Caenorhabditis elegans: one gene and its partners. The protein of the gene in region 3 interacts with the protein of the main gene of each other region in a pairwise test. Each region holds a gene or a part of one and is shown on either strand. Other genes may lie near its edges.

Evidence for each region.
Region 1: the proteins of ceh-9 (region 3) and ztf-13 interact in a two-hybrid assay, tested with the Caenorhabditis elegans proteins (one large-scale study listed by BioGRID).
Region 2: the proteins of ceh-9 (region 3) and lir-1 interact in a two-hybrid assay, tested with the Caenorhabditis elegans proteins (one large-scale study listed by BioGRID).
Region 4: the proteins of ceh-9 (region 3) and dpff-1 interact in a two-hybrid assay, tested with the Caenorhabditis elegans proteins (one large-scale study listed by BioGRID).

Annotation. Positions count from the first base shown.
Region 1 is NC_003284.9:3,098,806-3,104,781, forward strand, and holds ztf-13 (C2H2-type domain-containing protein), read right to left. Parts: upstream 3,475-5,976; 5' UTR 3,355-3,474; coding exon 2,935-3,354; intron 2,871-2,934; coding exon 2,646-2,870; intron 2,595-2,645; coding exon 2,440-2,594; intron 2,394-2,439; coding exon 2,276-2,393; intron 1,805-2,275; coding exon 1,676-1,804; 3' UTR 1,361-1,675; downstream 1-1,360. Other genes in the region: sec-3 (Exocyst complex component 1), read right to left, coding at 1-151, 203-301, 729-856, 903-1,032; K10B3.5 (C2H2-type domain-containing protein), read right to left, coding at 4,792-4,905, 4,959-5,124, 5,415-5,629, 5,686-5,877, 5,938-5,976.
Region 2 is NC_003280.10:7,669,293-7,675,553, reverse strand, and holds the start of lir-1 (LIn-26 Related), read right to left. Parts: upstream 3,550-6,261; 5' UTR 3,512-3,549; coding exon 3,446-3,511; intron 691-3,445; exon of another isoform or gene 555-690; intron 1-554. Other genes in the region: lir-2 (C2H2-type domain-containing protein), read right to left, coding at 3,760-3,844, 4,424-4,843, 4,895-5,075, 5,639-5,708, 6,177-6,261.
Region 3 is NC_003279.8:563,992-569,339, forward strand, and holds ceh-9 (Homeobox protein ceh-9), read right to left. Parts: upstream 2,598-5,348; 5' UTR 2,401-2,597; coding exon 2,250-2,400; intron 1,890-2,249; coding exon 1,702-1,889; intron 1,554-1,701; coding exon 1,449-1,553; 3' UTR 1,293-1,448; downstream 1-1,292. Other genes in the region: Y65B4BR.1 (Lipase_GDSL domain-containing protein), read left to right, coding at 618-1,119.
Region 4 is NC_003281.10:5,901,980-5,908,678, forward strand, and holds dpff-1 (Zinc finger protein dpff-1), read right to left. Parts: upstream 4,144-6,699; 5' UTR 4,137-4,143; coding exon 4,054-4,136; intron 3,928-4,053; coding exon 3,674-3,927; intron 3,636-3,673; coding exon of another isoform or gene 3,624-3,635; coding exon 3,418-3,623; intron 3,369-3,417; coding exon 3,266-3,368; intron 2,474-3,265; coding exon 2,384-2,473; intron 2,337-2,383; coding exon 2,104-2,336; intron 2,053-2,103; coding exon 1,903-2,052; 3' UTR 1,584-1,902; downstream 1-1,583. Other genes in the region: ER lumen protein-retaining receptor erd-2.2, read left to right, coding at 5,079-5,270, 5,315-5,557, 6,005-6,211. UniProt on the Caenorhabditis elegans protein: Probable transcription factor, involved in meiosis and stress protection.

The DNA of each region.
Region 1 (5,976 bases), on a different chromosome or scaffold from region 3:
CCTCCTTGTTGGATATTGGCTGATAATCACTTTGCATCGCCATATCATGCTCAGGAAGCTCAATGGGTATAATGGAGGTTTCTGATTCAAGTTGCGGTAGAGAGAAATTGCAGAAATCTGGCATCTGGACTGGAAGGTATTGGCATGACAACTAAAATACGAAATTTTCAGTAAAAAAGTTGAAAGTATTATAGTTGGATACCTTGTAGAGTTCTCGAATGAACTCGTCCTTTTCCTCAGCGGAACCAGCCAAAATCACATATTGATGATCACCGATAGTGATGTGGAACTCTGGTGATGCCTGAATTTTTTTAATGTTTGTCAGTTGAATAAAATTCTCAATTTTTTTTAAACCCAAAAAAACTTGAAGTAAATGCGAATTTAACTAATTGATAAGCCATTTTGTCAAAATAATTCCTGCAATTTGCATCATCTTTTCGACAAATTTAGTGTACAATAACTATTCTTTCAACAACTTCTCACCTAACTTTAGCTAATTGCAATTTTTACAATTGATAAAGATCGTTGAAAAGTTGCGGCAAAATGGCGAATTTTTAGCTATTTTAGGTTGATAAACTCCATCAAACATTAGTGTTCGTAAAACTTGAAAATCCTCAGTTATTCGAGAAGCTTCACATTTTTTGCGTTATGTTCTTCGTTACGCTCACATTTGCTCACTACATATATCGTATAAATTGCGTGAATCCATATAATTTTCAAATACTCACTTTTTTCGGATTTATTCCGTCGATTTCTCTGACTTCTCTCAAATTGAACCTGTCCTTCTTTTTGAATGTATCATCTTTCTCCCCTTTCACAAAGTATAAACGGACGGCGATGGGGTGCTCGATTGTGACTGCAAGTTATCGATTTTTATACAGGACAATTCCAAGAATTCTTACCTGCTAAACATAGTAGTGTCTGGTTTTTCTTCTTTTTTCCATCCAACTTTGAGACATTGACTATTGCTTGAATTCTTTCATCGTCTTTCTGGAAAAGTTGCCGCTGGATTATCTTCCTGATTGCAGACATTCAAATCTGAAATTGAAAATTTATATAATCACATTGATTAAGTAGAATAATAAAAATTTTAAACTTAAACCAAGCATTAAAAAAGAAAACAATAAAATCAGGGAATTGGAAACAGTTATGCCCAGTAAAAACATACGGAGTTATTCTGCGTCTCTGCAGTTTTCTGTGGTGACTAGTACACGAAAAACACGCCAGTGGCCGGTTAGCGTGCGCGTTTCTCGATGAACACCACTATTTATATTGCAATGCAGGGAAGCAAAAATAATTTTATTTGGTTTTATTTTTACACTTGCAAAAGATATAGTAATAGAATTGAAACGAATTGATTGACCTGAAAAGATTTATTTTTGGCAATTATTTAAATAGAACACGATTCCTAAAACGGACCGTAAAAAAATGACAATTGAAAGTTTTCAATTAGGAGAATCTGCAAAAGTAAAAAAGAAAGAAACAATAAATAATATTACACGGATCAGAAAAAAAACAACAGAGAGTTTGAAAAGGTCGTGGTTTTGATTTGGAAGTGACTTGAGGCATAAGTTAAAAGTAGAAAAAAAGTAACAGAAAACTTAAGTGAGACAAAAGAAAATGATTAATGACATGTAGCTATATTAAATCGGGGGTAAGTTTCAAAATGAGATTATCACTGAACAGCGTTTCTGACTGGATACATGGTGTAGTTGGTAGTAATCAAAGTGCGACGCAGCGGAAGTGGGCCTGCAGGTGGAAGTGTGTAGTTGCGGTTACGAATTGAAGTCGGGATTTTGATGATCTGATTTATTTATTAGTTTTTACAGTAAATTGTATTATCGCCCCTTTAAATTTTTTTTTATAAAACAAATGTGGACATATGTATATTTCAATACATTTTGTTACATTTCGCGACATTACTTGATTAGCCCCATTAGTAATTATTGTATTCTAAAGAAAAAACACACAAAATATGCTGGACAATCCGAATTTGGAAGTATTTTAAATCTTGGTAACTACTGAAACTTGTCCTATTAGACCTGCTAGCTTATATCTCGGTTGTCTTAAATTGTACCAAAAATAGTACAATGTCAATATGTTGAAAATTATTTTACGTAATTACGCAGTTAAAATGTTTTGATAAAATTAAAGAAAATCGAGATATTAGCTGTCAGCGTGAAGCAATCGGTGAGCAAGTCTAATAGTGATAATACAATATGTAGTAGTACCTTCTGACATGACAAGTAACTTAATGCATTTATCAAAATCTTACCGCTCGACCCTTTGAGTACGGAGCAGATCGCACAGTGTACTGCGGCTGACTTGCCGCCATTTTAGAGACGACTTCTCCAAGACTTTTTCCAGGTGGAACCGGTCGAGACGATTTTTTGCTAAAACGAAAAATATTGTTAAAAACCTAAATTTGGTAGTTCTTACAATTTGACTTGGGGCGGCATTGTGCTGAAAGTCAGTGTCTTAAAAACGGTCGCCGAGGGGACGTAGCTTTCCGAAGGCGAACGTTTTATGAATTTCCCGTAAATAAATGTATTTTTCATGCTCGACACAAAATCATCGTGATCTGCAGACTCCAGCTGAAAAAATAGTTCTGCTTTAAAAACTGCAAATTTAGAACTCTATCTAACCGTTGCCAATAAGTCGCTTTTAGCCTGATTGTAAACCACTAAGCCAATGCTACCCGACATAACTGCCTGCAGTTCACACTTTGCGTACGTGTAATATGCGGTTGTCATCACTGTTTGTTTGTCTCTGGTGAACAAGAATTCCTTTACAAAATCACTGGAACGGCGTGTGATGGCTTGCATCAGAAACGGGCCAGATGGTATTCGAGCATTTTGCATTGACTCACACTGCAAAAAAAAATGTATTTTAAGCGACCAATGTGTACGTTTTTTTTCTTTTTTTTTCTCTCACCACCGGCATCTCTCCACACCCGTGAGTCAGCATTGTGTGGTCACTGGCTTGTTGTAGAGTGTCAAAGTGAACATTACATTCGGAACAGAACCAATTAAACGACACGGGATGATTTAGGGTCTCGTGATGCTCCAAAGAAAATTGTGATACAAAATTTTCAGAACACGTTCCACAACGAAGCATTGCAAACTGACGGGATCTTGTTTTGGGCTCAGTTTTTTGCTCTTTGAGTTCCGTTTGAGGACGGTTCTCATTGAGCCGACGCTTTTGCAAAATTTGCAATTTCGAAGGAATAGGCGTCTCCTCCTGTGTGAAATAGTTCTTAATACCCGCGAAAAGTTCTTGGAAAACGGTTTCCAATGGTTCAGGCTCGAGTCCACTGATTAGTGGATCGTAGCTACTGTGCTCTTCACCAAACATGTTCCGTTTCTCACCCTTAAAGTAGACAGTATTGATTTGAGAAATAATCGAGCGGTTGGAATAAAAAGAGAATGGAAGGTTAGATGGGGGAACGCGAGGACGGGGAAATGCAGCGCGAGACCGAAAGAAAAAAAGATGGAGAAAAAGTACAAGTGAGAGGGTTCCGCAATGAGCAAAACCGTGTGATTTATCTGGGAATTACAATGGCAAAAAACACGAGATATTGTTTAAAGTATGATTCAAAGTGGAAACGTTATCAGTCAATAAACATTATTGAAGATAAGAGTGAAAGTGCAAAGCAATTAATAATCCTTATTTGCGACATAAACAAGGACTTTTTCAACACCAACAATGCATTGAAATAGTATTATGTAAGAAAAGCTCTAACTAGAGCTGTGTTGCTTGAAAAATTATAAAATTATATTAATAACCTTACAATACTGAAACAAAGCTAAATGAAAGCTATGCAATATATTTTTCATGAAAAAAAAGTTTCGTAACATATTCGTATACATTTCGGAAAATTTTGCAAAGTCTTTCCAGCATTGATTCTTCCACACTTTCTACATTTTCTACACATTCATAACAAATGTGACGGGGAGTGAGGCATTGAAAAAATGAAATGGAATAGAATATTAGATGATGTGTCTAGATGATGAGGTGTTTCCACAAAACGAGATGAACGTATGAGTGTCTCTCCCCCCCCCCCCCCCCCCCAACCAACTCGACGGGGATGGTCAGTGCTCTCTCATCGACTTTTGTGGTACGAGCCATTCAACGCGTGTGCTACTATCTCACTGTGGCCCACACGACGGCGGCAGTTATCGCCAAAGCCGTTCATGTCAAACCAATTGTGTGCGGTGGCCAATGCGGCCCTATCGATCGACCCAACAAACAGACGGCGAGGAGTAGTGTGAGCTGCTGCGTTGGCAACGCGGAGAGAACCGTTCAGCCTAGTGGTCAGCAGAGAAAAAAAGTAGATGAGACTTGACGCTTGAGGCGAACAATTTGCAAGACGCAAGGCAATGAGGGAAAAAATGAGGGAAATACAAAGAAAAAAACGAGATTTCGCATATTTTCAATATGAACATTTATTGAAACATTTGATACATTCACACATGAACAGGATAATTACAAAAGTATGATCATTAAAATATTAAAAGAAGAAAAAACGTCGGATAATGTTTTACAAGAAGACAACGTGATTTACGGAATGATCAATGAAAATGGTATTGAGAATAAGAAACCAGTCGATAATATTAAAACATGACAAAAATGACTAGATGTTGAAAACAATTGGGCGTACTAAAAATGATACAAATCTAAAAGTGACAGGGAGTTAGAAATTTAATCTTTACTCTGGACAAATTAATTGGGCTATCGAAAAAAAATGCATTACAATTAAATAATTTTCCCAAAATGAACAGCACACGGAATCTAGTTCAAATATCTGACAATTCCCGCTTCCGAATTCATAAGTTGAGGCTGAACGTCAGAAGATTGATAAGCGATGCCACTATTTACAGGTCGTGGTTGGGTTTTTGTGGAACTCTGAAATTTTAAAAGTTTTTGAAAGATCTATCAGTGTTGATTTTTCAACTCACAATGAGTCTAACGGTTGTTCCAGCTTTCGTTCCCGGCTTTAAGATGTAGCTAACTCGATTGTTGAAAGTAGCTGGAGTAAACTGTTTTTTACTGGGCGATTGCAAAACGATGTGTGGCATTTTTGGTCGAAAAACTGCCGCATCAGGTGCAACCGGTGGGTTTCTTCTGAAATTTATCTTGATTAGAATATTGGTCAGTGTTAATGAGAATATAATTGAATTGACACATCACACGTGCTACCAGGCTGTCCCATTATGGTTTGACCTACAAAAAATGCGGGATTTTTTTTCGCCTAAAAAAATTGACGTCAGCACAATCTTAAGCATGCGAAATCAGTTGAGAACTCTGTGTCTCTTCTTCCGCATTTTTTGAAGATCTTCGTAGATCAAGCCGGAATGAGACACTCTGACACCACGTGAACGTGACTTGACCAAGTGATTTTTAAAAAAACATACGCTAAATATCGATTTTGCATTTCCTCCGAGAAAAAATCGGGCTCATAGCAACGAATGACTTTGTACATTGGAACGGAGTTGATGGGTAGGCGGTGAACTGACGGGCCATAAATATAAGCTTGCTTGAGCAGGTCGTTGATGGAAGCTGATTCGTCGACACAAACTTTGCTAGCAGAAGCATTAGTAACTCCACTTTGACGCGAACCCACTGCTCGCTGTAAAAATTAAAAATTAAATTATGTAAAAATTAAAAATTAAATGTAACACTAACGTTTGCTAATGGGTTGAAGAGCACTTTGGCCTCCTTTTTGATAGTCTCATTGTCCTTCGTTGTACCGGTCAACTTGCCAGATTGAGCAAGATGGCTGCTCACAAAGCTCCATATCATTCCTGATATACGACGCTGTGAGGATTTTTTCCCGTAGTCTGATAGTGCACCGTTTCCGAATATGGCATTATCCAGCTGGAAACAAATAATTTGAATGTTATAAAAATCTGGTCAAAGTGAAAAAATATTTCTAACCAATGGAACAGTTTCTTTTCTATGTTCAGTTACGAGATG
Region 2 (6,261 bases), on a different chromosome or scaffold from region 3:
AACTTTTAGATACAATTTCACATTTTCAGACAATTTTTAAGAAATTGTTTTGCCTTAGTATTTGATAATTTTGAAAAAATGTCTTCCAAAACAATGCTAAATCTTCAAACAGCTCACTTGGAATTTAAAAAAGTTCCAAAACACCTATTCTACACATTTTGAATTTTTGATCGTATGCTCACTCCTACAGCAACCCATTCTTCTCTTCAGTACTCTCCAATCGTTCCTTTCCACTGATTTTTTGTTTGATGCACGGTGTTTAACGATTCCTCTGACATTGGTGGCTCTGACACAATGAAAATGTGTGATGGCCTCGCTATGTGATGCCCGACCGCCTCTGTGGTTGTAACTCAGCGATTCGAAAACCAGTTTGAGTGGTGCCCTCGTCTCGCATGCGCTCATCACTTCGTTTTCGTCGTCGTCGTCGCCTACAGCGCCTATGTCGATTTGTCGATTCTATTGTGTGCAATAATGGTTGAACGACGAGTGAATCACGTTGGTAGAACGAATCCGATTTAGACAAGCGTGTGTGCGCACAAAACGATTTCATCTGAATTGGCTCCAATCGGGGTCGATTTATAGAGCGGAGAGGAGGTCGCACCATTTCATCAACTTCTTCCGTCGTCCAACCGTTCACAGAATTTAGGTCATCGCGAGCCGAAAGTGCGGGTGTACGTCTTTGCGGCCTCGACGGGTGACTTTACGGAGATATGCATTCGCTCCTTGGACATGAAGAAGGAGAAAGTCATGGATTGGAATAATATGCGCTACGGAGGAGTGAGAAAGATCACGGAGACGACTAATGCGCACTGTGCGCGAATGTTCCCATAATACCATAAACTCAGAGAGAAAAGACGACACGGATACTCTAACAGGATCTTCGGAACATTTAGTAATACGTTACTTTGAGTTAAAAAGAAAACGATAGCACATTTTTTAACTTTTCAAAAAAAACTCAAAACAACGAAAAAAATTCTACTCGAGTACTTTAACTGCTTAATTAGTCGATAATTTTTTGAAAACCATTCAAAAATTCTTCTAGATTTTGAGCAATACTTCCTACCATAAAATCTCAGAATGACGTATCCCAGGTCAAAACTTTAGAAGACCCTTTCACTCTCACTTCACATAATGCACAATTTGACCTTATTTCGGACACTCACTGGGCGAAATCGCGTGAGAATGAATTGGAGTCAAGAGCGTCTTGTAGAAGTGAACAAAGAATTAAGAAATAAGAAGGAGTTTCATTTTATAAGTACGGATAGTCAATGAGTGGAAGCAATGAGGACTCGTAAAGACGATTATTGTAATAAGGGGATAAAGAGTCTATACTATAGAAAAAAGAGAAGTCTGCAGACTTAAGGTTAAGTGTAGTGACGGAAAAGTGAAAAGTCGTATCAAAAAAGATGCACAATGATACCGTCAGACTGACGATGTGCTCGATTTTTATGGCTTCGGCTCCACCGGCAATATTTGCATACACCACACACACACACACACACACACACACACACACACACACACACACATTCTAAGCATTGTGCTGCGGTTTTATAATATCGGACACCTTACCACCCGCTTTCAAACCGGGATGCTTAGAAGGTGATAGAAGAAATGGTGTTAACAGCGCTCACACAGTTTTGTTGTTGGTTGCGCTCGCCGGGGCACACGACAACGGCGACAACGACGCGACGAGTACAGTTTTGTCAGTTGTGTGCATTGTGCATACAGGCGCTCAATACCCGGTATGGGAGAAAGAGAAAGGGATGGGAGAAGACGATGATGGAGAACAGGAGGTATGTACACTTCGGACGATGCTGAAAGTGAGGCAGGCGCCAACGCGTTCTATTATGAGCTCGTACAGGCAAAAATGTATTCGTAGAATAGAAGAAAAAGAAAGACATTGTGATGAAATATAGATTATTCAATTACAAGATTAGTTCGGACAGAAATACCAGAACTAAATGGAATTTTAATGTTTCAGGAAAATTATTGATTAATTTATATTTTTAGTTATTGTCGCTAATGATTTTAGAATTTAGATTTAAAAAATCTCGATAAATGAGCAAACCTGTCAAATGCGAAAATTAACCAATTTCCAGTATCAAATATAGAAATATTTCGAAAAAGGGTAGAGGATGATACTGAGAGAAAGAAAACGGACGGTTGCTCCGTGAACAGAAACATTCAAATCCTCCGTTCAACATATACTATCTCTCGTCGATGAAAGTAGCATCACCGTGTTGCTCGCATAAATGGAAAAGGGAACAGAGCGAACAAAAAATACGGACGCCGATGCAGCAGTTGGCTGCAGCTCTTGCTTCCTTTCTGCACATTTATGAGAGCGCCACGACGATTGATTTCATCGATCTCTTATGTACAGGAGAAGCACCGAAAAAAGGAGCTATATATGTCGAATTCGAAATGAGCATCGTGCGAAAGAAAGAGCTTGGAATTGAGAGATCATTGATAGAGTAGAGGTTTTAGGAGAAATATAAAAAAAATGTTTGCAGTGATGTTCAAGCTAGTCTATACTTCAAAAATCTGATTTCTAAGAGAATAGAAGTTATAGGTTATGTTGAATCCCTACATTTTAGGATCAAGGGTGTCGCTTTTTCGGTTTTTTTTGTTGGAAATTCAACAAATTTTGGTTTTTTGATTTTTCGAAATTTCTCAAAAATTGCTCGAAATTTCAGCGCCTGGGCTTTTTTTAGAAGGAAATTATATTTTCTTTTGTGTTTTATATTCAACAAAATTAAATTTTGATTTTTTTTTCGGAAAACCAAAAAAGTTCGTTTTTCGATTATCTCTCAAAAAAATTGGCATTTTTAGACAAAAAAACTAAAAAATTTATTTTTCGAAATTTATCAAAATTTAACAAAAATTGCTCAAAAAAAAGTTAGATTTTCGATTATTTCTCAAACAGAAAAATTGACATTTTTTAAAAGAAATCCTTGGTTAGCATCAGACCGCACTTTTTTTCGGATTTTGGAAGAGCGAAAAAACGGAAAAAATTTGTTTTCGATTTTCAGAAAAAAAGTTTTTATTGATTTTCAATTACACTTAAAAAATTGTAAAGTCCAAAAAAAATAATAAAATCTCGGTTACTTGTTTGAAAAAAAACTTTAATCAACTTAAATTTTGAATTCCGTATAAGAAAAGTGTTTTCAAATTTTTTTTCGATTTTTTCTTTAAAAAAAAAACGGAATTTTTCGTTTTTTTTTCAAAAGTGAATTTTTTTGGATTTTCTCAACAAAAAAAACCGACAATTTTTTCAGCGGCACCCTTGTTTAGGAAGTCGATTCGAATAATTAGGGGATACCAATGGTTAATATGGACCGAAAAAGGAATCAGAGGTACAATTGGAAGTTCTATGCAAAGTTTCAAACCAGAGAAAATGAGTAAATCAATATTTTAGATAATTTTTATAAATAAAAAAACTCACGCAATAACTGAGAAGATCGATCGTTGCTGCATCATCGTTCAGTTCGATGACCACAAATTTCGGCATCCCGGCCGGGTTCGAATCGTACGAAGACGACACCTATGTATATTATTTATATTATTAGGAATTACAAGAGCACGATAAAGATATTCAGAAATAGAAATAACTATTTAAATAAGAAAAAAGAAATTACCACAAATAATAAAAAGACCGACGATTTTATTGAAAATCGAGTAAGAACAAAATTTGCGTTGTAAAACTTAAAATTAAAAGAAAATATTATAAATATCAACGAAAAAAATTTAAAGAAACTATTAAATTTTTGCTTCTTTTCCATATTGATGATTCGGGAAACACTTTGCCATTGTATCCAGCCATTCTTTTCGTACTTCTGGTGTTCTGAAAAAAATTGACTTTGTAAGATTTTTTTATTTTGGAATGAAACGAATTAAATTCAGTTTTCAAATGGACATCGTCTGAATTGGATTTTATTCAAACATTTTTAATTTTTTTTAATGGAGCGATCTTGCGACAGAATTGAATTTAAAAAAAAAATTAAATATGCTCTTTTGAAACATTTTTAGTCTAAAATATGATCTAGAAAAAAAAATTTCTAAAATTTACATTTTATTCAAAATTTCAAATCTATTTTTGCGGGTTTATGCCAAAAATAAATTTTTGGCTTATCCTCACATTTGGATAAAATTACCATTTTAAATAGAATGGAAAAAAAAAATCTTGCGGTGCAGCTGCAACATTAGTAGCAATTTTCGTAATTTATAAAACAAATTGCGTACATTTTAAAATAATTATACAATTAAAACAGAAACCGGCTTTCATGCTTTTCGAGTGAGATTAGATAAAAAAAAATAATCTCAGTGAATTAGTGATTCAACTAAAAAAGAGCTGTCGCACAATTTTTAAAATCTTTAAAAAATAATTTTTTTAAAATTTTTTAAATTCAAAATAAAAACTCACATCATATTCACAGGTTCGTGTTCCGAATTGTGTTGTGATTGTCCGTGCTGCTTTACACGAACTTTTCGTACAGCTTGATATGGACATTGGGAACATTTGAATGGTTTATGAGTGGAGTGTTTCATCATTACGTGTTCAAAGAAATTCCATTTAGAACCACCAGAATTCAGGCGAATTCCAATTCCACAAATCTCACAAATCGCTGTGACTACATCTCCACAAACACTTCCAGAACTTCCACATGATTTCATTCGTTTTGGAGATGGGGAAACTTTTCCAAAAAGTGCCAAACCAGTCCGTATAGCTTCAGTTGCTAGTTGTTCTTCCAATTCAGCAGTTTGTTCATCAACTTCTTCACTAAATTCATCATCTTCGTCATTGCAAGGTTCCAGTTTAACTTCTACATCAACACGTTCCACTCTGAAATTGAAAAAAAATTATGAAATGAAAATTCTAATTTATTAATTCTACCTGCTCTTGATTGAATTCGTCATGTCCAATTGTGATACAGGGGAAACCGGCAATTCTTTGTTAGTTGGTGGAATTGGTGTTGACCAAAATGGTGTTCCATCTCGAGAAATCTCATCTGTTTCAGGTTCATGTTCATAGTTGGAATATTCTACCGTATCGAGTCTAGGCGCTCGAGGTATACCTGAAAAAACGGTTAAAATGTTTTATTTAATTTAAATAACAGCTGCAATTAAATTAATGTGATAATTTTCTGATGAGAAATAGGAAAATTGTTAGTTTCATCTCTCAATTTCCGTTTTTCGGTCATTTTTTAAATTTTTTAAACGAAATTTCTTCTTTTTTTAGTGAATCTAATTTTCTCGTTTTTGTTTCGTTTTTTAATCGATTTTCCGAAATTCGAAAAAAATCCGAAAAAGAATATATTGATTTATCGATTTTTCAATTTTCGTTGTTAAAAAAACCTAAATTTTTCTTTTAAAAAATAAAGAATTGTTCATAATTTCCGATTTTTTTTATTTTTTAAAAGAAGTTTCTTATTTTTCTCATCGAAATCAACATATTTTGGATAAAACAATAGTTTTCTCGACTTTTTTTCGGACATTTCTTTCATTTTTCTCGATTTTGCGATGTTTTATTTTCAGTTTTATCTGAAAAATACTGAGAATCAACAAAAAAAAACGGAAACTTTTTTGATTGTGACGAATTCGCTTTTTAAAGACAATTTGGGAAGTTTTTTACACTGACCAGTTCTGATAGACGATGCCACCATATCCGAACTTCCGATGTGCTGAAATCGAGAGAATCCATGATCAATCTGAAAATTATAAATTTTTTTAAAATTTCGTTTTGAACTAACATGAAACTTATTCTGCCTTCATTTGCTACCTGATTTAGCTTATAATAGTTAGAATCAAATAATTTCAAGCGAAAAGCTCACAAAAAGCTACACTCAACACACACACGCAACGCGCACACGCTCGCGCACCGCTCTTCACCCTGTTACTTCTCCAATGTCTCTTCGCTCACTATTTCTCTGCCTGCGCTCACAGTCGGAAACTCTAATTTCACGCAATGTTTCGGCGATTGTGAGCGTGAATTGAAGGGTGCTACCAACTAAATTTTTATTCTTCAAAGAAGATGTCACTGAATGAAGACGAAAATGAATGAAAAAACAGAAAACATTTAGAAATAACTTTTAGAGAAATGAAGAGCATGACAATCTTATTTCGATCCAATTCCAAAATTGGAACCAAAAATAATAATTTTTATAAAAAGTACTTACCAAAACCGATAATAGTCTTTTAAGTTCTTGAGGAGATGAAACATCAACGATCAAATGTGAGAGATATTGGTTTTGAGGACTGGGT
Region 3 (5,348 bases):
TTTTGAAATTTGCCTTGCTCGGAAACCGGCAAATTCGGGAAATTTGGCACACCCTTGATCCCATAGCAGTGGCGCAAAAAAATCTTTAAAATTGTGGCCGTTTCCGTGCCAATTATAAATTAAAGTTAAACATATTATCGAAAAAATACGATCGCAAATTTTTCTCGTAACTTATTTTTGATCTACCTTGTTGACTAGGCTCCTCCCCTTCCTTCGACAAGACAGCCACAACAAAATAACAACGGCAACAAGATTATGGGCAAACACGTGGTGCCAGGCTGTCCCATTACAGTTTGATCTACAATAAATGCGGGAATTTTTCGCCCAAAAAAAAAGTGACGTCGGCACGTTCTTAACCATACAAAATCAGTTGAGAACTCTGCGTCTCTTCTCCCGCATTTTTTGTAGATCAACGTAATTCAAGCCAAAATGAGACACTCTGACACCACGTGGGCAGAGTCAACTTCCAAAGGTAGATCAAAAATTAATTATGAAAAAAATTTGCGATCGTATTTTTCGATAATAAGAGCCAACATTTTTCGGCTTTTTATGGAAATTTTTTTTTCAAAAAGAGGAGTATGGTCCATAACTATGCCATCAATACCAAGTCCTTCCAGAACCATCGTATCCATGACCGGAATGTTCGACATGGCCATGCTTCGCCAAATCGACCACGACAAGTATTTCTGCGACGGCCTCCATGTGTTCGAGTGCCCATGCGAGAAGAACAAGGACTTCCCGAATACCGACATCTCGGCTGCCTGCCATCTTTACATGGATGCTCAGCAGGAGATTCAAGACTCGGGAATCTTCGACTCAACAGATGACTTTACATTTGTCGTTCAACCATTCTTCAATGGAATCACAGTTCCACCACTCAAGCCCGACGGAGAAGTCAATCTGGATTGGTTTGCACCGGATTGCTTCCATTTCTCAAAACTAGGCCACGCCAATGTTGCCAAGCACTTGTGGAACAATATCGTTCAACCAGTCGGATCCAAGAACCATCAAGTCAATCTGTCAGATCCTACCATTCCACTAAACTGCCCAGACACCAAGTGCCCATTCTTCAGAACAACTAAGAACAGTGTTGACTGCTCGAAATATATGACTGCCTAGACTGTAGGAAATTGTGTTTGTGTGTGTAATTTGACGTACTTATCGGGTCTGCAATAAAATGTTTTATCGTGTAATCTTTAATTTTTAACGTGTGAGACATAAAAGAAAGAGCACCCTCAATAAAAATATCCACGTGGAGTACACAATATAGCTATCAATAGAGCGAGTAAATATTTTTGCAATAATTATTTATTAGAAGAATGGAGATCAAGGTAAAGGAAGAGATCTTGATTTTGAAAAAAAGATACTGGAAATACTAATTGTTCACGGGATTTCATAGAAGGGGATATATCACGACTTTTTCTTTGAAAAATAAAAACAACATAAAATTATTGCGGCTTCACAATCTGATCATCCGGTATTTCTCCAGATCTTTCCTTTTCCGATTCGATCTTCTTCCACTTGGTACGCCGGTTTTGGAACCAGATTTTCACCTGGAATTTGAGAAATTTCAGCTATGCGTTGAGTGCCGCGTTACGTGCTGCGTTGCGTGCTGCGTTGCGTGCCGCGTTGCGTGCCGCGTTGCGTGCTGCGTTGCGGGCTGCGTTGCGTGCCGCGTTGCGTGCCGCGCTGCGTGCCTACCTGCGTCTCCGTGACATCCAATCGTTTTGCAAGCTCACTTCTGTCACTACTTGACAAATACTTTTTCGCCTCAAACTGCTTCTCCAGTTCGAATACTTGTTTCCCGGAAAATGTCGTCCGCGCCTTCTTTCTCTTTGTTTTTTGACATTTTTCTATAGGAGACTCTTTGGCTTGGTCGAGGCTGGATTCTGAAAAAATATTCTTAACGGCTGATTATTTTTCTACGTGTAGCATTTTTCCGAAATTCATTGAACAAAATTAGTAAATTTCCAAAAAATTTTTTTTCCAAAATTTCGAAAACATTTTAATTTTTTTCAGATTTTCTAATATTTTAAAACAAAAATTGAGAGTAAAGGAAATAAAAATTGTGTCTTGTAATTTTTGTAATTTTTACTCAAAAAAAGGCCAGTGAAATACTATTACAGAAAATACGAATCGATGCACCATGTCAAAAAGAATAGTATTTCACCTCAAATGCACCATGCCCAAAACTAGTCTATTTTTCAACTACAAAACTTCATACACCTAATCCAAAGAAATCAACTTACTGCATCTTCCAAATTCATCAATTTCTCCATTAACAGTTGGTAAGTCAAGTATATCCTTTATCAGGTGACTAGTTCTTCTCTGAGGCTTCACATCAGACGTCAACAGTGCAAAATAGGGTTGAAGTAGTTGGAAGAGCAAGTCAGTTTCCATTTTGCACGAATGAAAAGAACTTCTGAGAGACTTCTCTATACAGTAGGTCTCGAGGTCCCCGCCTTCTCTTCAATCAAATAATTGAAATTCTGGACTCTCGGGGGACTTTTGACGGTTGACGACGACGACAATTTGCCAAAGTGGTCGACAATGATTGCGCAATTGGTGTGGAAAGAAGAAGAAGATGGGTGAGTTCTGAGATGATGACAAAAAGAGCATGAGCCAGCAAATTGAATAAGAGACCGGATTTCGAGAAGGAGGAGGGGGAGAGGAGGATTGGTGGTAAGGGATGATACTTGATGCAATTGAGGGAATGAGTTTCTCATACTTGACTATTAAATACTTTTCTTGAACTTAAATATTTGAATTGAAATTTTGGAGTAGCGGAGGCACATGTGATATTATTGTGCTAATTTGTAATACTTGGACTTTCAAATATAACCTCAATTATTTGAAAAAAACCTTTTGAATAGACCAGCAAGGTTGATCTACAATTTTTCATGGAAATCGAATTAATTTTGTAAGGATGTCTACTGAGTATAAGCTTATTGTTAGGCTTAGGCTTAGGTCTAGACTTAAGGCTACACTTAAATTTAGGCCTAGGCTTAGGCTTAGGCTTAGGCTTAGGCTGAGGCTTAGGCTGAGGCTTAGGCTTATGCTCAGACTTAGGCTTAGGCTTACGCTTAGGCTTAGGCTTAGGCTTAGGTGTTGGCTTCAGAATAAGCTCAGGCGGGGGTGAGGGAAGGGTAGAAAAAAAAGAAAGAGAAATTTCCAGAAATTCACAAAATCCAGAAAAAAACATATCTTTCACAAGTTTATATTTTTATAGCCTAAAAAATTACTTTTAAAATGAGGATATGCAACCCGCACGCAAAAAAACCTTTTTTTTTTTGAGCAATTTCACGGCTCTTTTTTTTTTAATTTAAAAATACAATAAAAAAACCAAAAAAATTTTCCGAGCCCAAATTGCTCCCAAATGCTCTAAATTTCTTTTGAAGTTTGATATATTCCTATTAGAACTTGAGGAAAATGTAAAACTAGAGAAACATAATACTACGCATGTTAAATGTAAATTACTTACTTTTAAAAAGTCGTACGTTATTTTGGAAAGTTTGAGGTTTTTGCATTTTTTCCGTAATATCACTGAACACTTTTATTTAAATATCATCAATTATCGGAAGTTTATAGGTTGCAGGAGAAAAAATATATTCTAGCGGGAAAATGAAATGAGACGGGGGGACATTTTTAACCAAAAAAAAATCAGAAAACAGTTGGTAATAAAATTATTCCAAGAAAGTATAAATTCATGACTTCCATCTTGGGAACATTCTTAAAAAATGTCAACGAATAAATCTTTGTGGCAAACAAACTTTTTCCATAAATGTTTCAGACCTTATATAGCGGACATGAAAGTTGATTGCTTATTTGATATGTCTTGAGTTTATTTTTTTTTATTTCAAGCGAGGGGAGATTTATTTGCCTAGATATATATATAATTATTACTGGAACGAACTGGAAAAAAACTTGGGATCAAAAAAATCAAAAATTCAAATTCAAAAATTCAATTTTTCGAAACTTTTTCTACAGCTTTGTCGAGAAGCAACAGACAAATACTTATAGCTAAAATTTTATTAATATTCTAGTTTTAGTCATGGTGAATCGAGAATTTGTCAATTTCCATGTGGTATCTTAAAAATAAACCGATACACGTGGTGTCAGGCTGTCTCATTGCGGTTTGATCTACGAAAAATGCGGGAATATTTTTCCAGAAAAATTGTGACGTCAGCACGCAAAAATTAATAAGGGTCTAACCAAAAAAACTTGAATCTTGGAAATATTTTTAATTCACCCTAAATTTTCCCCTGATTCCGAATATCTATGTGAAAAAATTCAAAAAAAATTTCCTGAATTTATATTTAAGCTTGAAATCTTTCATAAAAATTTTTTTTTTTTAAATTTCATTTGTACTCGCATCACTTTTTTCAAACTCGCGCCCAAATAAATTAGCGCGCGCGTGCATCGTTTGACTTTTTTTCGTTTAGTTTTTTTTATTTTAGCCGAATTCAATTTTTTTAAAACCAGTTTCATTCATTTTTGTCGGTTTTTTTTTTCTGAAAAAAATGTAAAAAAACGAAAAAAAATCAAACAATGCAAGCGCGCTCCAATGCTAATTTATTTGAGCGCGTATTTAAAAAAGAGACCGGGATACAAATGAAATTCGGCGATTTCAAGCTTAAATATAAAATCTGGCAAACTTGTTTTGAATTTTGAATTTTTTCACATAGATACTCGGAATCAGGGGAAAATTAGGATTCATTCAAAAATATTTCCCAGATTTCGGTACCCCACCTTAAAAATTTTTTTTTGGGAAAACAAGGAAAATTTCTAGCTTGAACTTATTTTATCAATACCTAAAATGCTGAACATTAAAACACACACACCCGTATGAGTATTATATACTTCCAAGGAAACATTTGAAAAATAAAGAGTTCTCCGCTTTGATTATACACTTGTGATATTCTCACGCCTGGCACTTGGCACCAGCTCAAAGTGCTCATTTTGGCTATAATTGTTTGAAGGTATATGAAAAAGTGGAAATTGGGAGGAAAAATGGCATGTTTTGGCTTTCTCTACCTGGCCTATGTGTTAGAAAACTCTTCTATGAAAATTCAGTTTAATTTTTTAATTTTTCTTAATTTTTAAAATTCTAAAAATGGCTAAACTTTCAAAAATATAATTTTTAAAAAGCCAAATACTATAAAATTTCTTTGTTAATTTCTTTATAACCAAAATTAACGATTTTCAAAAGTCAAATTTTTCAAAATTACAAAAAATTTAAAATTACTGTAAGATGCGCAAAAATTACAGAGTTTTCAAAATATAAAACACTCTTGTGGCCGAAAACTTCCAAAGTTCAGGAAATAAAAATTCCAAAAAAAAATCAAGAA
Region 4 (6,699 bases), on a different chromosome or scaffold from region 3:
TTATTCATGAAGTTTTTTGTTGTAAAGTCAAGGATTTTTAAATTTGTTTTTAAGTTCATGGCCGCTTAAAAAATAAAACTCGGCCACTGCCTCGAAAAAGTATAATGGTGAATTATCACAAAAATTAATTATGGCAGAATATTTCAGATTAAACTTCACGGGTTTCAAAATTATTTGGAAAACTAGGCCATCTGTTTTTTTTCTCGGTCACTTTGCAATATCTTTGCAATACTTTGCAATAAAATAAGCGGTAAAGCTTTTGCCAAATAATGATTTTAACGAAATTTTCGCAATTTTTAATAGTGTTGGATCTTGGGAAACTGTGCGGTTTTTATTTCAAGACAATGACCGAGTTTTCTCCTTTCGAGGCCACATAACAAAAACCGAAGTTTTTGAACATTCAAAATACAACAAAACAAAGAAAAGTCAACACTTGAAAAGGTGAGAAATTTTTAGAAGAACAAAACGAAAAAAAGGGAAGAAATAGGCACTCGAACGGAAAACGGCGGTTTTCCAAAAACGATCACTTTTTGGAAAAAGTGAGGAGGAGGTGAAGAAGCCAATGTTTATTTTTGAGTGATTTGGATTTGAATTATTTATTATTTCAAAACTTATAAAATTAAAAAAAAATGCTGATCATTATTTTTTGTTGCAAAAATGTACACGAGTATAGTTTAAAAGTAGTCTCTTTCAAAAGTACACGAGACGGAAGTGGAAGTGTGTCTGAGCTTCTTGGCTTCAAAGAGTTATCCGAGATCCCCGGCGGCAAATTGAATCAGCTCCAAATTTGGAGGGATAGGAGGAGAACTGCAAGAGAAAATAGAGATGCAAAAACAAACAAAAATGTTTTTTTTTATTTCTAAGAAAGAACACAATTGTGTAATCGATATGTGTTGTTTCAAGTAAAAGACAAAAAAGAATGGAGAGTAGAAGGGACATAAAATTGGGCGATGAATAAGTAAAATAAATGGGTGAAAGATATTGGAAGAGAGAAGAATAGAGAAAGTTATAAAATAATGTTATGGTATTTATATGGTAGTAGGTCAGATAAGATGATAAAATGATAATAAAATGAATACAAACAGTTAATTCTCTTTTTATGAAACAACCAAAGTAAATTAAACATTCTAAAACGATAATTTTAGATTTTTTAAAACTAGATATATTACCCAGATACGAAAGTTTGCAATTTTCACTTAAAAATACAGTACCAGGTCTCGACAAGACCAAATATAATCTCCACGCCCCATGGTTTTGCAATTTTATTTGTTGTAATTTTTACTCTAAAAACCTATTGGATGTGACAATATTTATCTAAAATTAAACAATTATATATATTTTTAACTAGCTTAAATGAAAGAAAACTGCAAAACAGTGGGCCGTGAAGGTTACTGTACTTCTTAAAGGTGCCTATCTCTTTTCATTTGGATATATTCGATCGTTGTAAGACCTTGTATCGTACTCCAAGATGTTAATAAAAAAAATTGTCAATTAAACTGGAAAATAGTAATTTGAATTAGAATTTTCAATGTTCCGTTTGATTCTTTGAAACTTCCAATATTGTTCGAGTTTCTTCACATGTGTTTTATTTTGAATCATAGTATTTATTGAACTTTTTTATGATAAGACTGAAATAAATAAAAAGGACGAGGAAAATGTGGAAGTACAAAAAAGAAAAGAGCGAGAAATCAAAGTAGCAGAAGGAGGGGTGAGTGAGGTTTTAGGCTGGCTTTTTAGAACAAGAATTTTTCTCTATGTATGAGCCATTACGTAGTAATAATAATACTTAAAGTTCAAGTGAAAATGAAGAATAAATAATCGGATGACGGTGTGGGAGGATCGTAAGCAAACGGGTCGAGATTATGCAAAAAATATTGGAATAAATATAATATTTGAGAACCATTACTTCTTGGCCGGTGCACTCGCTTTGTCTCCGAATTCAACTTGACATAACCGACATGAATACTCATCATCTGGAGCTTTTTCGAGCGCCGGAGTCAGACAATAAAGATGGTATCCACGATCACAGTCGTCACAGAAGAGCAATTTATCCTGAAATCCAATTAATATTGCACTTTATAAATATAATAGAAAATATCTTACATCATTTTCACTTGTACCACAAATGGTGCAACTCTTGCACTCAAGACACTGCCATCCGCTTCTTTTTATGATTTTGGTCACATTTTGATTAAAATTAAGACAGGAAGGATGACCAGAACGACCACAATCATGACAACTAACGAGATCCTCTGGCAATTTTGTATTTTTGTTCATAAAAGCAGTGCCGCTGCAGAAATCACAGCTAGTAGATATTTCTATACTGGGAGACAATACTGAAAAATAATACATTTGAAAATAGCTTGGAATGCAAAAAACTTACACTTAACCAGTGGTTGACTAGACTTTTGATCATGAAGATACGACTGATGATAGCTTAAACCCGCGAGGCTTTTGTATTTCGCGCTGCATTCTGAAAATTATCAAAAATTTTAAATTACAAACGAAAGGACTTGGGAAATATGCGGTTTGAAAAGAGTATTTTCAAATCACAGATTTCCCATTATGCCACATCATATAAGCTTCCAGGAACACTCAGTACATGCTAAATTTAGTGCCTATATTTCTACAAACTTCCTCTCGATAGACCCCGTGTCCCGGGTGGGAGAGATGTATTTTTGATCAGTTGAGCGGTTGCCGCAGGATTTTTTACTGAGGTCCCTCTCGCCCAGGTTTCTTTTACAGAGGGATAAAATACTAGGAGGGATATAAGAATGGGATATTCAGGATACATATTGGCTTATGACTTAGTGCAAATTGATAACGAGAGGAAGGAAGCTAATACATTTGATAAGATCCACAATTATGTGAAGAAGTACTACAAATCACACCACTAATTATGAAACTAATATTAAAAAAAGATCATACATAATCTTCCAAAATTTATTTTTTAGACCAAATTTCCCATTTTTTTGATTTAATTTTCCTTGGATCTCTGGAGAAACATGCATAATTAAAAAAAAAACTAAAGCATGCAAAAACATAAATAATCTCGTGCAATTTCCAAGCATCCTAATTTTTTGAAAAATCTCGAAACCGAATGAATCAAGATACGAAAAATTAAACTAAAAATCATGATGATAGTGTTCCCGGTAACTGACATGCTGTGGGCGATGGGGGAGGCAAATAAGACTAAAAAGGACAAGAAGAATGGTGTGTTCTCCTGGGCGAGAGGGCTTCGCTAATCCGCCGTACAACCACTCACTGTCACATGGATACGTCTTCTCCTCCGGTTCTTCATATTTTGTTTCCTTCACTATGGAACGAGATGGGGTCAATCGAGAGACAGAGGAACGAGTTGTTGGTACCTAAACAGTCAGAATAAAATTATTTAAACAATTGAATAAATAAAGAAACCTTTTTACGTGACGAAGTTGCTTTCTGAACAGGCCCCAAGTTGCCTTTACGGCGTTTACGCGACGACCAATCATCTTCATCGGAGCCAAACTCGTCTGGAGAGAGCTCATCGTCAAGAACGTAGTCATCACGATATTCCTCTTTGATCTGTGTTTGGCGGGATGGTCTGATGGTAGTTGAGTCGTTCGAACTATCAGAAACACTTTCTGCAAATCGAACTACAAAAATTAGGTTGAATCGTTCTGATGCTTCTCACCAGTTGTTGGTCCGACAACTTGTGGAGTGAGATGATCAATTGCAACCTGAATAGACGGATTCTCACGCAAAAACATGCTCATCTCAACAGCATCAGATGGTGGCTGTGACTTGCTCTTCTTCCATCTCTCGGTTGCGAATTGAACAACAGTATTTGGATCATTTGATGGATACATGTGATCCACGTTGCGGGTTGTGAAGCGAGACTCTCGCTGGGCCGTAGCCGTTTGATGTTCATAGTATGGGAACCGCAGTCTGCAACTTTTAGGGGCTTAGTACAACCAAAAAATAATTCCTAAATGCTCTAAAGATTTATCATTACTTAGATTATTCAGATTTCAAATGGATCTTTTTTAAGTAGCCGAAACATCAATAACTAACCGTTTTTTACGATCCTCCATTTGCCGGGAATTCCATTTAATGCAGTTCCGCATCAGGTCCATATATCCGTTTTCCGAGATCATTGTCTGTAAGATTAGCTGTCTTGGATTATTTTTAAACATTTTGATAGCTCAAGAAATCGGGCGCCCGGTGTGAACAAACAAAAAAAACAAGAGAATGAATGAACACTGATCGATAAATTGGACAGCTGCCGATGTACGCAAACACCAACACGCGAAATTGCGTATTGTCCAGCGTGGACTCGTTGGCTGATGGACCTTTTGGCTCGAGTTTTCTTCTTCGTTTCCGGCCTAAAACGTTTCGTTTTTCAATTAAACAGTTTAAATTTTTTGCGATAATTGATTAATATGTAGCTACGCATTATGTGAATACCAAAAAATGGTTGAAAAGTTCATGTAGGCCTACAATTTTAGAAAATCTAGGTCTTTCGAAAACAAAAAAAAAACATTCGGTATTCAGAACGTTCGAACAAAATGCTCTATTCAAACATTCTAGTTTTCATAGAATATTTCCATGCATTTTACCTAGCGAATCGAAATGTTTGTTTTTTTGTTGAATGCAGGGTTATGTGTTTTTTAACTGTAAATACACGTAGTTTTTGCATTCAATGTTTAAAAATTTTGTCTTTATGTTTTAAGTTCCATTTTTTAGTTTTTTTCAGTAAACCTTTTTAGCTTCGTTGCGTTGTATTTGCATTTTTCAAAATTCCCACGTGGCACATTCAGTGCTGGCTTTTATTGCACTCTTTTTTGTCTGCGAAAGGAAAACTCTAAACCATTTCTGTTCGTTCTCCGGAACTTTACCGTCCATATAATATAATTTTCTCTGTTCCCTATCACTCTATCCGTTATCTTTTGATAAACAACGTTGACCTCGATAATTGAAAACATACCCATTCACTGGAATGAATAGGTGTTTTCCAATTCATTTCATATTTGCGTTTTCTTTTCTTTACCTGATGTATGTATCTAAATTCTCAAAGTATGATAATTTTTAGGGTCATCATGAACATCTTCCGTATATCGGCAGATATGTCGCACTTGCTTGCGATTATCATCCTTCTGCTCAAAATCTGGAAGAGCAGATCGTGCTCCGGAATCTCTGCGCGGTCGCAGATTCTGTTCGCTCTCGTGTTCACTGCTCGATACTTGGATCTTTTCTCCACATACATTTCTTTGTATAACACTACAATGAAGGTAACTTTCTGTCCGTAACAATTATAAATACAATCAAATTTCAGATCACCTTCCTCGCCGCTACGTACGCCACAGTGTATCTGATGTTCTTCAAATTCCGCTCAACTTACATGCGCGAGTCGGATACCTTCCGTGTCGAGCTTCTCATCGTCCCAGCTGCGATCCTCGCTCTTCTCATCAATCACGATTTCGCTCCATTTGAGTTGCTCTGGACTTTTTCGATCTATTTGGAGGCTGTGGCCATTCTTCCACAACTCTTCCTTCTCCAGTCTACCGGTTCCGCTGAGGTAAATCTGGAAAATAATAAATAATACAATAAATGCGCCAAATTTGACTTCAGCGTGCAAAATTTTCCCTCTCAATTCGACATGCCGTAAAAAAGTGTAAAATCCAGAGATGGCAAAATTGGAGATAGTACAAGAAAATTGTTGTGCTTAGAAATTGTCGTTTCTCCCGATTCCAACCGTTTTCCCCGTATTCCGAATTTCGCGCACATCTCCGCTGTAGTCCAAATTGATTCGTCAGCCTTTTAACTTTGCTAATATAACAACCTGATGAAATTTGACTGAAAGTTAATCCATTCTTTTCATAAGTTTTACTGTGTTGTTTGCAAACACTCGACATCTTTTTTTCTTAATTTCTTTTGGATTAGACATTTTGGTGTAGAGACGCAGACACCAGGCCACAAATTGAGCCTTCTATCTCTCTCCCATATTCATCGTTTCTTCTTCCAGGTCATCACTGCTCACTACTTGTTCGCTCTTGGCTCCTACCGCGCTCTCTACATTTTCAACTGGATTTACCGCTACTACACCGAGGACTATTTCGATCCAATTGTCGTTGTTGCCGGAATTGTACAAACTGTTCTCTACGCCGATTTCTTCTATCTTTACGTCACCCGTGTCGTCCAAACCCGTAAGGGTATGGAGCTCCCAATCTAAACGAACGATTCCCATCCTTTTTGACGTTTTTTCCTACGAGGTTATATTAATCTTTACGGAGTTGGCGTTATAATTCACACTAAGTCTGGTCACTTTTACTTTTCTTCTTTTTGATTGTTGGGAAATAATAAGAATGTGTGCCCGCCAAACTCCGTTAATTTATTTCTCTGTGTGATGATTTTTATGGGGGATTTCCAAAGATATCCATTTATTCAGCTTTTTAAAATAGAGATTTAATGTATAAATAATGAATTTTTCTGGATTTTTTTTGATGGAGTTGATGAGTTTTCTTCGTTCGGTTCGCTTACCGTGCTGCATATTGTTTTAAAAAAAGTTATTGATCGGTTCGTGATACGAAAATAGTTTGCAACGATTTGTCTCTTCCGTGCGAGACCTTAATCCCTAATCCAATTGCTCATCTTAAAATTATGTCTTAGACTTGAAAGAAACGAGCTAAACTTCCTTTTCTTTCCTCTAGTTGATGATTG